Ovis aries: one gene and its partner. The protein of the gene in region 1 interacts with the protein of each later gene in a pairwise test. Links are inferred from orthologs where the notes say so. Each region holds a gene or a part of one and is shown on either strand. Other genes may lie near its edges.

Region 1 (4,305 bases):
GGTAATTGGTTACAACAGCCACGAAAGCTAATACAGTGCACGCTTGGTTGCTCAGTTGTGTCCCACTCTTGAGACCCCATAGACAGTAGCCTGCCAGGCTCCTCTGTCCATGGAATTCTGCAGGCCAGAATACCGCATTCAGCTGCCATTTCCTTCTACAGGGGATCTTCCCAACCCAGGGATGGAACTCAGGTCTCCTGTGTTGCAGTCAGACTCTTTACCGACTGAGCTACGAGGGAGCACTTAAAGATCACTCACTACGTACCAGACATCACCACTCTAAGTACTTTATCCACTTAAATTCACTACATCCTGGTCCTGGCTCTGAGGCCTGGGATGAGCAGACACATGCCTGCTCTGAGCATGAATCCCAGATTCACTGTTCATGGTGGTGAGCCTAAGCAAGTTATGTGACCTCTCTAAAAAACAGCTTTCCCAGTTCATAAAAGGGCCACATAACCCTTCTCACTGGGCTGCTGAGAGGATAAAACGGATAATAAACATGAAATGATTAGAACACCACAAAGTAAAGACTAGTTGCCTTCTCAGGTGGCTTGGCAGTAACAAATCCGACTGCCGATGCAGGAGACACAGATGCAGGTTCAACCCCTGGATGAAGGAGGATCCCCTGGAGGAGGGCATGGCAACCCACTCCAGTAGCCTTGCCTGGGAAATCCCACGGACAGAAGAGCCTGGAGGGCTACAATCCATGGGGGCGACAATAGTCAGAAATAACTTAGCGACTAAACACCACCAACAACAAATAAATGCTAGTTGTACGAGATCTCAAGGATTGAACAAGCCAAAATTAAACCATCATCCTAATCCATCAGGATGTAGATGAGGCCTCTTGGACTCATCTATGTAGGAAAGACCCATCAGTGCAGGAAGGAATATGTCCTATTTAAACACTTCGGAGAGCGAATGTGACAGTCTGAAGAATTCAGTTAAGTATTTCTTCCCTTAATTAAGCAATTTAGGTCCTGAATGCTGGCCTCATTTTAGAAAAGGCAAATGCTGGGGGCTGTTCTAATTCTGCAGCTTCGACCCACAGATTTCCAACCCCTATCTCCCCTTCTTAAGGACAGCTATGCACATCCATCACACAGCAGGACCTGACTTGCAGTTTCCAAGCCTGGCACACCCCTGCAAAGCTCAGAGCATCTCCTCCCTGTAACTCTGGCATCAGGAAATGGAGCCCCAGTGATTGGAACTCAGTGTGAGGCAGAACTGTAAGTCCATTTTATGGCCTTCCAACCATAGGGTACACCAACCTGTCCCAGCAGGTTAGGTGGAATGATAAAATCAGGAATAAGCTTTGATAAGAGATTATAGTCAAGTCAGTAAGAATAAAGGTTTGCCCAGAGGCCAAGTAAGGGAAACCTAGAGCTATCATGTTAAAAAAAAAAAAAAAAAAAGGAAGGAAAAAAAACCCACACTTTAATCAAGTTGGCCCTTTCTGATAAAGTTTGCCTAACTCCCTGTGCAGGTGATGTCATTCAAAGAAGCAAGGATCCCAGGCCTTGCGTCCCGGCCTAAGAAATCTGCATGCGAGGAATAAAGGGGGAAGAAGGACCTGACCACCCGACCTTGGCTTCCTCCCAGTCAGAGGTCCAGACTTGGGTGGCCAGCCTCCGAAGTCTCCTAGGGCCACTGCCAACCTTGCCCTGGCGACCAGGCCTCTTACCAGCAGGCTGCCGGGCTCGCCACCTGCGCGCTCTCAGCTCTGCCCTACCCCACCCTCCAGGAGGAAAAGGGATGAGAGAGGACGCACCCACCCCCCCTTACTCTCAGGCACCCACAGACTCCTGCGCTGCCGTCACCACTGACGAGAACCCAGGTCCCCTGGGGGCACTGCTTCCCCTTCTCATTCCAACCTCCCCATCAATGAACACGCAGCAACCGCTACGCTCCCGCTGCTCCTACTCTGGAGGAAGACAGAACCCAGAACGACATCCGGAGCCGAAAGCCGCAGTGGTGGGAGCGCCGGGTTCCCGGCCCCGCCGTCCGTCCCTGCCCTCTCCCGGTCAGCAGTGGATCCTCCAGCCAGGCCGGCGTTCGGGATCCAGAGGGTGCCCGAAGCCTCTGTGGGGCCCCGCCTCCCCCGGGGACTCGGCGCTAGAGACCTCAGGGAGCCCGGGGAGAGAACGGCTTAGCAACACCCGCGGAGGCCTGGCGCCTGCCACAGTCCCGGGGACTCGAACCCGGTGCCCTTGCCCGTAGGCATCCCGCGCCCTGGGACACGCCTCATCGTAGGCATGCCCAGCTAGCCCCTGGCCCAGCGCTCGGGCGCATCGCCCTCCCCTGCACCCTCCTCCCGGAGGAGCCGAGTCCCGGGCCGCCCGCGCGCCCAGCCTGCCCCCAACAGGTCGTGGGCAGCGGGGAGCGCGCCTCCCGCCGGGCAAGGGAGGCGAGCCGGAGCGAAGCCGAGGGCTGGCCGCGTGGGGCGGGAGGGGTCGCCGGGGCAGCGAGCTCGGCCACTTACGCGCGGGCTCTGGGGAACCCCATGGACAGCAGCACGTCCAGCGCCGATCCATGCTTGATGGTCCCGGGGCGCTGCTGGCGGTTCCTCCGCGGGGTGACTTTGCTGTACAGCTCCTCTCTCGCAGCCATGCCGAGCGGGCTGGGGTGGCCGTACTGAGCCATGCTCAGCGGCCAGCCATCTCCCGGGAAGGCACCCGAGCCGGAGGGCCCTGGAGGGCGGAGGGCCGGCCCGGGGCAGGGGAGGGGGGCTTGGGGATCCGGAGCCGGGCGCAGGCGGAGGCGCAGGCGGCGCTCGGAGGTTCCCTGGTGTCGAGACTGACGCTTCCTGGTGAGGCCACCGGAGCCAAAACTGCGAGCCGCTTTCTGCCCGGCCGGCCGGCCGCCACTCGGGCCCCGGGTGCCCCCTGCTCGGCGCCCGCAGCAGCCCTCTCTCCTCCGCCCCCTTCCTTCTGCGCTCCCAGCAGTCCGGGAATTTGCAATGAGTAATTTTTGAATGGATCAAAAAGGAAAAGGAGCTTTGTGGGCCGGCTCTGCCTCGCCTGTACCCGGGCCCCGCCCCTCTCTTAAAGCGGCAGCGCGGCCCGTGACTGCTCCCGGCTGGGCGCAGGCTGTAAAAGTCCAGGTGCTTCTGGGCAGAGAATTGGAACCAGCACTGCCTGTGTACACTGGTTCAGGGGAGTCACTTCCAGCGCTCTAGCTTCTCCATGGCTTCCATCCGGAGCCAGTGGGGCCTCAAGACGCCAGATCAACCCATTTCAAGTTTCCTGTGGTTCTGGATGGGGTTATTAGTGGAAATTGGGCAAACTGATGGACGACATGAATGGACCAGAAGGCCAAGTCATAGCATCCAGATAAAAGGTTTTGCTTCCTAGAGACGGTGCAAGACCCAGAGAATTGTTAATAGCAGCTGGAGACCAAGTTCCCATCAGCTGGCCAAGGAATCACGCTGAAGACCTTTTGTGTTCTCCATGATGGACCATGGGATTTCCCAGGCAAGAATACAGAAGTGGGTTGCCATTTCCTTTTCCAGGCTATTTTCCCAACCCAGGGATCGAACCAAGGTCTCCCGCGTTGCAGGCAGATTCTTAACAATTTGAGCTACAAGGGAGGGATAAAACTGCAGACAGAAGAGGAAGGGGAAGATGAAAGGAGGAAGAAGGAGGCGAGGAAGGAAGTGGGATGTGAAGGAGGGTGGGGGAGCAGGAACTGAGAAAGAACACTTTGTAATTGTAAGAGGTGTTCGGCACCGAATGGGTTGATTTTCAATAGCGAATGAGCACCCTGTCAGTAAAAGCATTCTAAGACAGACCGCTTCATCACTGCTCAGTGGTGACAAGTAAGTTGCATCATAGGTTTGCCCAAACTACTCCTACCTCAAAGAAGGTGGAAGTCCTAGCCACCCCTCTTTCCCCACAGCGCCACAACTTGTGAGCTGGTCATCAGCCGTCACGAGAGCTGGTCTTAGAGATATTAAAGCTTGGGGGGAAGGCTGATGACCAGCTCTCAAGTTGTGGAGCTGTGGGGAGAGCTGATGACCAGCCCCCATGAACTTGGCTTGGGGATATTAAAGCTGTTTCATTCAGAGACACATTTATGGTCCTCAGTTAGCTAGGGGGACCCTGCTCAGTGTAATGGAAAAGGCACAGAGTAACCCTCAGTTCAGTTCAGTCCAGTCTCTCAGTCGTGTTCAACTCTTTGTGACCCCATGAATTGCAGCACGCCAGGCCTCCCTAATATCACCAACTCCCGGAGTTCACCCAAACTCATGTCCAAACTCATCGAGTCAGTGATAGCTGCTCTTTTTCAGGTAATGATTATATT
Region 2 (4,540 bases), on another chromosome or scaffold:
CATGCCACACAGTGCAGCAAAAAAAAAAAAAAAAAAAGGGAGGGTGGTAAAAATCCATATATGAATAGTTATGCTGGGTTGGCCAAAAAGTTCATTCAAGTTTTTCCTTAAAATGTTACAGAAAAAAGATGAACTTTATGGCCAATTCAAAATCTTAGCCATTTTCAAGCACCAGATTCAGCAATACTAAATATATTCACATTGCTACACAATCTAAAATCACAATAGTTAATGTTGACAACCTAGTGCCAGGCCCAGCTTGGGACAGCCTCTGTTTCTCAGTGGTGGTGGAGACAGAAATGTAAACAGGCATGACATGCCAGCATCACCACAGCTGAGGCTGTAAGAGCTCAGGAAGCTGGGGGCTGAGCTGGGGGTGTGGGGGATGTGTCTTAGGAAGAGGGGGTCCAAGATGCCCTCTGAAAAAAGGAAAGATCTTCCAGGCTGAGGAACTTGGGTGAACAAAGTTCTGCCTGACTGAGAGACCCAGGTATGTTCTAGGAACTGCAAGTAATGTTCCTGAAAGCCAGCAAGATGAGTAAGGGGGATGAGATGGGAGAAGTCACAGTCTTAGGCTGAAGAGCCTTGAAGGTCACTGTGGGGACTTTGTCATTGGGGGCTGGCAAGTTTGGGAAAGAAGAGAGCCAAGATCAAAGACTGGAGTTAGACTGACAGGTGGGTGCTGGGCTCAGGCGAGAGGAGAGGAGAAGGAAGGCCTCCAGGGCTCTGGGGCATTTAGAACGAAGCCCTGTGCTCCGTTGCACCTGAGGGTCCGACTGCAAGTGGGAAGGTGAGAGGAAGTGGATTCCCAAAGGAGACGCCAGCCCTAAGAAGCGGACATGGATCCTCGGGAGCTGGGTTGGGTCCAAGGAAAGAAGCCTGACCAGTCAAAGGATGGAAGCGTGAGGAGCCACAGCCTCGGGCCTCAAACTCTGAGGTTTCTCAGCCGGGGGCCGGGACGCGAGATCGCAAACCAGTGACCGCAGGCAGATCAGATCCCCTTCCCCAGCCCGCTCCTGGGTCATTGCGGTTCTCTAAGCCCCGCCCCACAGGCCCCGCCCCTACGGATATTGATAGGGGAGGCTAGACACCCTCCCCCCTCCTCCGCAGGGGAGGGGCGTGAGGACTGGAGAGGTGCGGTGGTGGGGGGGTGGGTAGGATGATCCGGCGTCGCCATGGCAACTAGGCCGGTGGTCTGCCCTGGAGACCCAGGACAGAAGCCAGCAGTGAGCGGCGGAGCGAGGCTCCGCGGGCTGGGCGCGGGGGCTCGAGTCTCCAGGGAGGAGTTGGGGAACACCGGGCTATTCTCGCTGAGGGTTCCTGGTGGCGCAGGTTGTCCGTGTGTTTGCAAGCGTGTGTCTGCTAAGTTCTCCGGGATAATTGTGCCAGCGCGTGTCTGGGTTTATGCACGACTGTGAGCGTGCGCACGTGGGCACAGACGTGTGCGCGGGAGTGTCCGTGCAAGATGCGTGTGCCAGCCTGCCCGTGAATGTGTGTGCACCCGGGTGCGTTCCTTAAGTGTGCCGGGGCGGGCGCCGGCGGGAGAGTCCCGCCCCCTCCCCAGCCTCCGGCCGCCCCTCCCCGCCGCCCGCCGCCCGCGCCGGCTGCCTCCTAGCCTCCACCTCGCTCACCCCCTCCTCCCCGCACTTTCTCCGGCTCTCCCTCCCGCTCGGCTCAGGCTGCCGGACTCGGCGCTCTTCTCGCCGGCCGCCCTGGGAATCGCCGGCCGCCACCGCCCAGCCCGCACCCGCTGGCCCCCCAGTGCTTGGGCACCTGTTGGAGGCGCACAGATAGGTGCTGGGGGCTGGTTTCCCGGGGACGAGAGGGTGAGGGTGAGCGTGTGTGTGTCAGCCTGTGTGTGCCTCCGAGGGGTGTTCGGCTCTCCGGAGGCTGCAATTCCTGGCTCCGCTGGAGATCCGATCTCAGGAGGAAGCATCTGAGGTGGGGGTCCCCACCTTGGGCCGCAGGGGGTGGAGGACCAGCCAGCAGGCAGACCCTGAGGTTGAATGAAGGGACTGTGGGAAGTGGGAACCTAAGGGGCGGGTGACACCCAGACCAGACCAGCGCCTGGTGCAGAAGGATGGCCAGAGCCTCAGAGAGGGAGAGGAGGGGCCCTACGAGGGCCGCTTGAGGGGTCGGCAGGGCCCAGAGCAGACAGAAGCCCAGAATGAGGGGCAGGAGCTGGGACGAGAAAGGGGACAGTCTAGAGGTAGGTGGGCAAGGCTGTGCTGGAGCCAGGACCTCTCTTCAGGGAGTGGCTGCCAGACTGGCCCCGGGGCGAGCACAGCTCACGGTCTGGAGGGCCCAGGCCTCCTGCCTGTCCCTGGGCTGGCACAGGCTGCCTTCTCCCTCAGTGCCCAGGAAGGGAGGCCAGTGAGGGCCCTCAGACCCCGGTGGTTGCCGCCTGGCCCTCAGCCAGCAGACGGGAGGTTTGAGGACTCATCCAGCCCAGGGCTGACGCTCTCTCCCTCCCCAAGCTAGGGGTGCTTCATGAGGGGCCGCAGGGGCGACCGCATGGCCATCAACATCCAGGAGCACATGGCCATCAACGTGTGCCCCGGGCCCATCCGGCCCATCCGCCAGATCTCCGACTACTTCCCCCGCCGGGGACCTGGCCTCGAAGTGGGTGGCGGGGGCTTCGGAGAGGCCCCTGCTCATCTGGCCCCCCTGGCCCTGGCCCCCCCGGCGGCCCTCCTTGGGGCCACCACGCCTGAGGAGGGAGCCGAGGTGGACAGCTACGACTCGGATGATACCAGTGAGTCTGGGGGCTTGAAGGGTCCAGGGCACTCCTGGGGGCCTCCAGGCTGGTGGGAAGGGCCTGGGCTCTGCTGGGGGTGGGGAGGCGGCGGGCACTGCTGCCACAGCTGCAGTCGGAGTGGAGATTACAGCTTCAGCGAGGCTCAATATTCAATATTTCTGCTGAGACACTCAACCACCCACACAGCCCCAGTTGCAGCCCAGCCAGGGACCCAGACGTGCACAGGCTCGCGGGCTGACAGCCGCAGATACGTACACACCTTCACAGCTGGCACACAGCGGGGCCGCCCGCCCGCCTCACACACACCTTGTCTTTGTGCGCTCACTCAGGTGAGCTCTTCCTTCTCTTCCTCCAGCTGCCCTGGGCTCCCTGGAGTTTGACCTTCTCTACGACCAGGCTTCCTGCACTCTGCACTGTAGTATCCTCAGGGCTAAGGTGGGTGCTCCCTGCCTCCCCCTGCTGGCCTTCTATCCTGAGAGGGGTGGGTTTCCATTCTCCCTTCTCTCCACTGGACTCTTTGCACCCCATGGACTCTAAAGTCTATGGAATTCTCCAGGTCAGAATACTGGAGTAGCCTTTCCCTTCTCCACTCCCTCCCCTTCCCCAGGCCTAGTTTCTTCTCCTTCTCTCCAGCCCCTAAGTGTCCACACTGTAGACAGACAGACAGGGAGAGGTTAGGTGGGTTGGCAGGCCTGGAGCTCACAGCTGTCTTCCCTCTGGTCCTCCCCAGGGCCTCAAGCCCATGGATTTCAATGGCCTGGCCGACCCCTATGTCAAGCTGCACCTGCTGCCTGGAGCCTGCAAGGTACTGGCTGGTCTCTCCCCTCCCCTAGTCCCCCCAGCTTGTGGATTCCCAACCTTCTGCAGCCTCTGTGGGTCTGGAGGACACATAATGTGAATCCTTCATCCCCTCACCTAAGGCCAATAAACTAAAAACTAAGACTCAGAGGAACACGCTGAATCCTGTGTGGAACGAGGACCTGACGTATAGCGGGATCACGGTTGATGACATCACGCACAAGGTGCTCAGGTGAGGAGTCCATCCTCCCCCGTCCCAAGCATTCCAGCTCAGCACCTCCTTGGGGACAGCTGTCATTGGAACCTTTGGTTGGTTGACCCACCTCCCCTTAAGCCCTCAGATATTCCAGAACCATCACTGGCTCCCCACCCTCTTCAGGAGCAGGCCAAAATGTTCCCCTGACTTTCCTGCCACCCCCTCTCCCCCAAATAGCTCCTACTGCTCCTCCAAGGACTGCCCTCTTATAAGGGTTCTTCACTCCTGACCTTTGTCTGCTGTGCCTCTTCCTGACTCCTCTCTCTGCCGGCCTGAACCCCACTCGTCATCCGAGGCTCTGCCTCCTCTTGTAGTCTTTCCCTGGACACTGGGATGCCTTCTCAGAGTCCCTGACTCAAGTCAGACCTACGCAGCCCGTTGTTGCCCATGTCTCCCTGACATCTCTAAGGAATGAGGTCTCAAGGGACAGGAATGGGAATGAGGTTCAGGGAGGTTAAGTGACTTGCTCAAGGTCATGCCGTAGCTATGTGGCAGAGCTGGGAACTGAACATCCCTACAGGACAGAGCTGCTCAAAAGCATCACAGCTGAAGACAGGGCGGGGGTGCGGAGGGGGATGGATGGAAGTAAAAGCAGTATTTTCTTAAGTTATTTGGTTCTGTCAGGTCTCAGGTGACCTTAGTTGCAGCATGTGGAATCCAGTTCCCTGACCAGGGATGGAACCCAGGCCCCCTGCATTGGGAGCATGGAGTCTTAGCCACCGGACTAC

The links.
Region 2: the proteins of UBASH3B (region 1) and DOC2A interact in binary tests that used the Homo sapiens proteins (3 or more experiments, as listed by UniProt). The link is inferred for Ovis aries from reciprocal best matches to the Homo sapiens genes UBASH3B and DOC2A.

What each region holds. Positions count from the first base shown.
Region 1 is NC_056068.1:33,037,470-33,041,774, reverse strand, and holds the start of UBASH3B (ubiquitin-associated and SH3 domain-containing protein B), read right to left. Parts: upstream 2,965-4,305; 5' UTR 2,647-2,964; coding exon 2,486-2,646; intron 1-2,485. UniProt on the Homo sapiens protein: Interferes with CBL-mediated down-regulation and degradation of receptor-type tyrosine kinases. Promotes accumulation of activated target receptors, such as T-cell receptors and EGFR, on the cell surface.
Region 2 is NC_056077.1:26,767,061-26,771,600, forward strand, and holds the start of DOC2A (double C2-like domain-containing protein alpha), read left to right. Parts: upstream 1-1,643; 5' UTR 1,644-2,490; coding exon 2,491-2,755; intron 2,756-3,113; coding exon 3,114-3,193; intron 3,194-3,488; coding exon 3,489-3,563; intron 3,564-3,678; coding exon 3,679-3,788; intron 3,789-4,540. UniProt on the Homo sapiens protein: Calcium sensor which most probably regulates fusion of vesicles with membranes. Binds calcium and phospholipids. May be involved in calcium dependent neurotransmitter release through the interaction with UNC13A.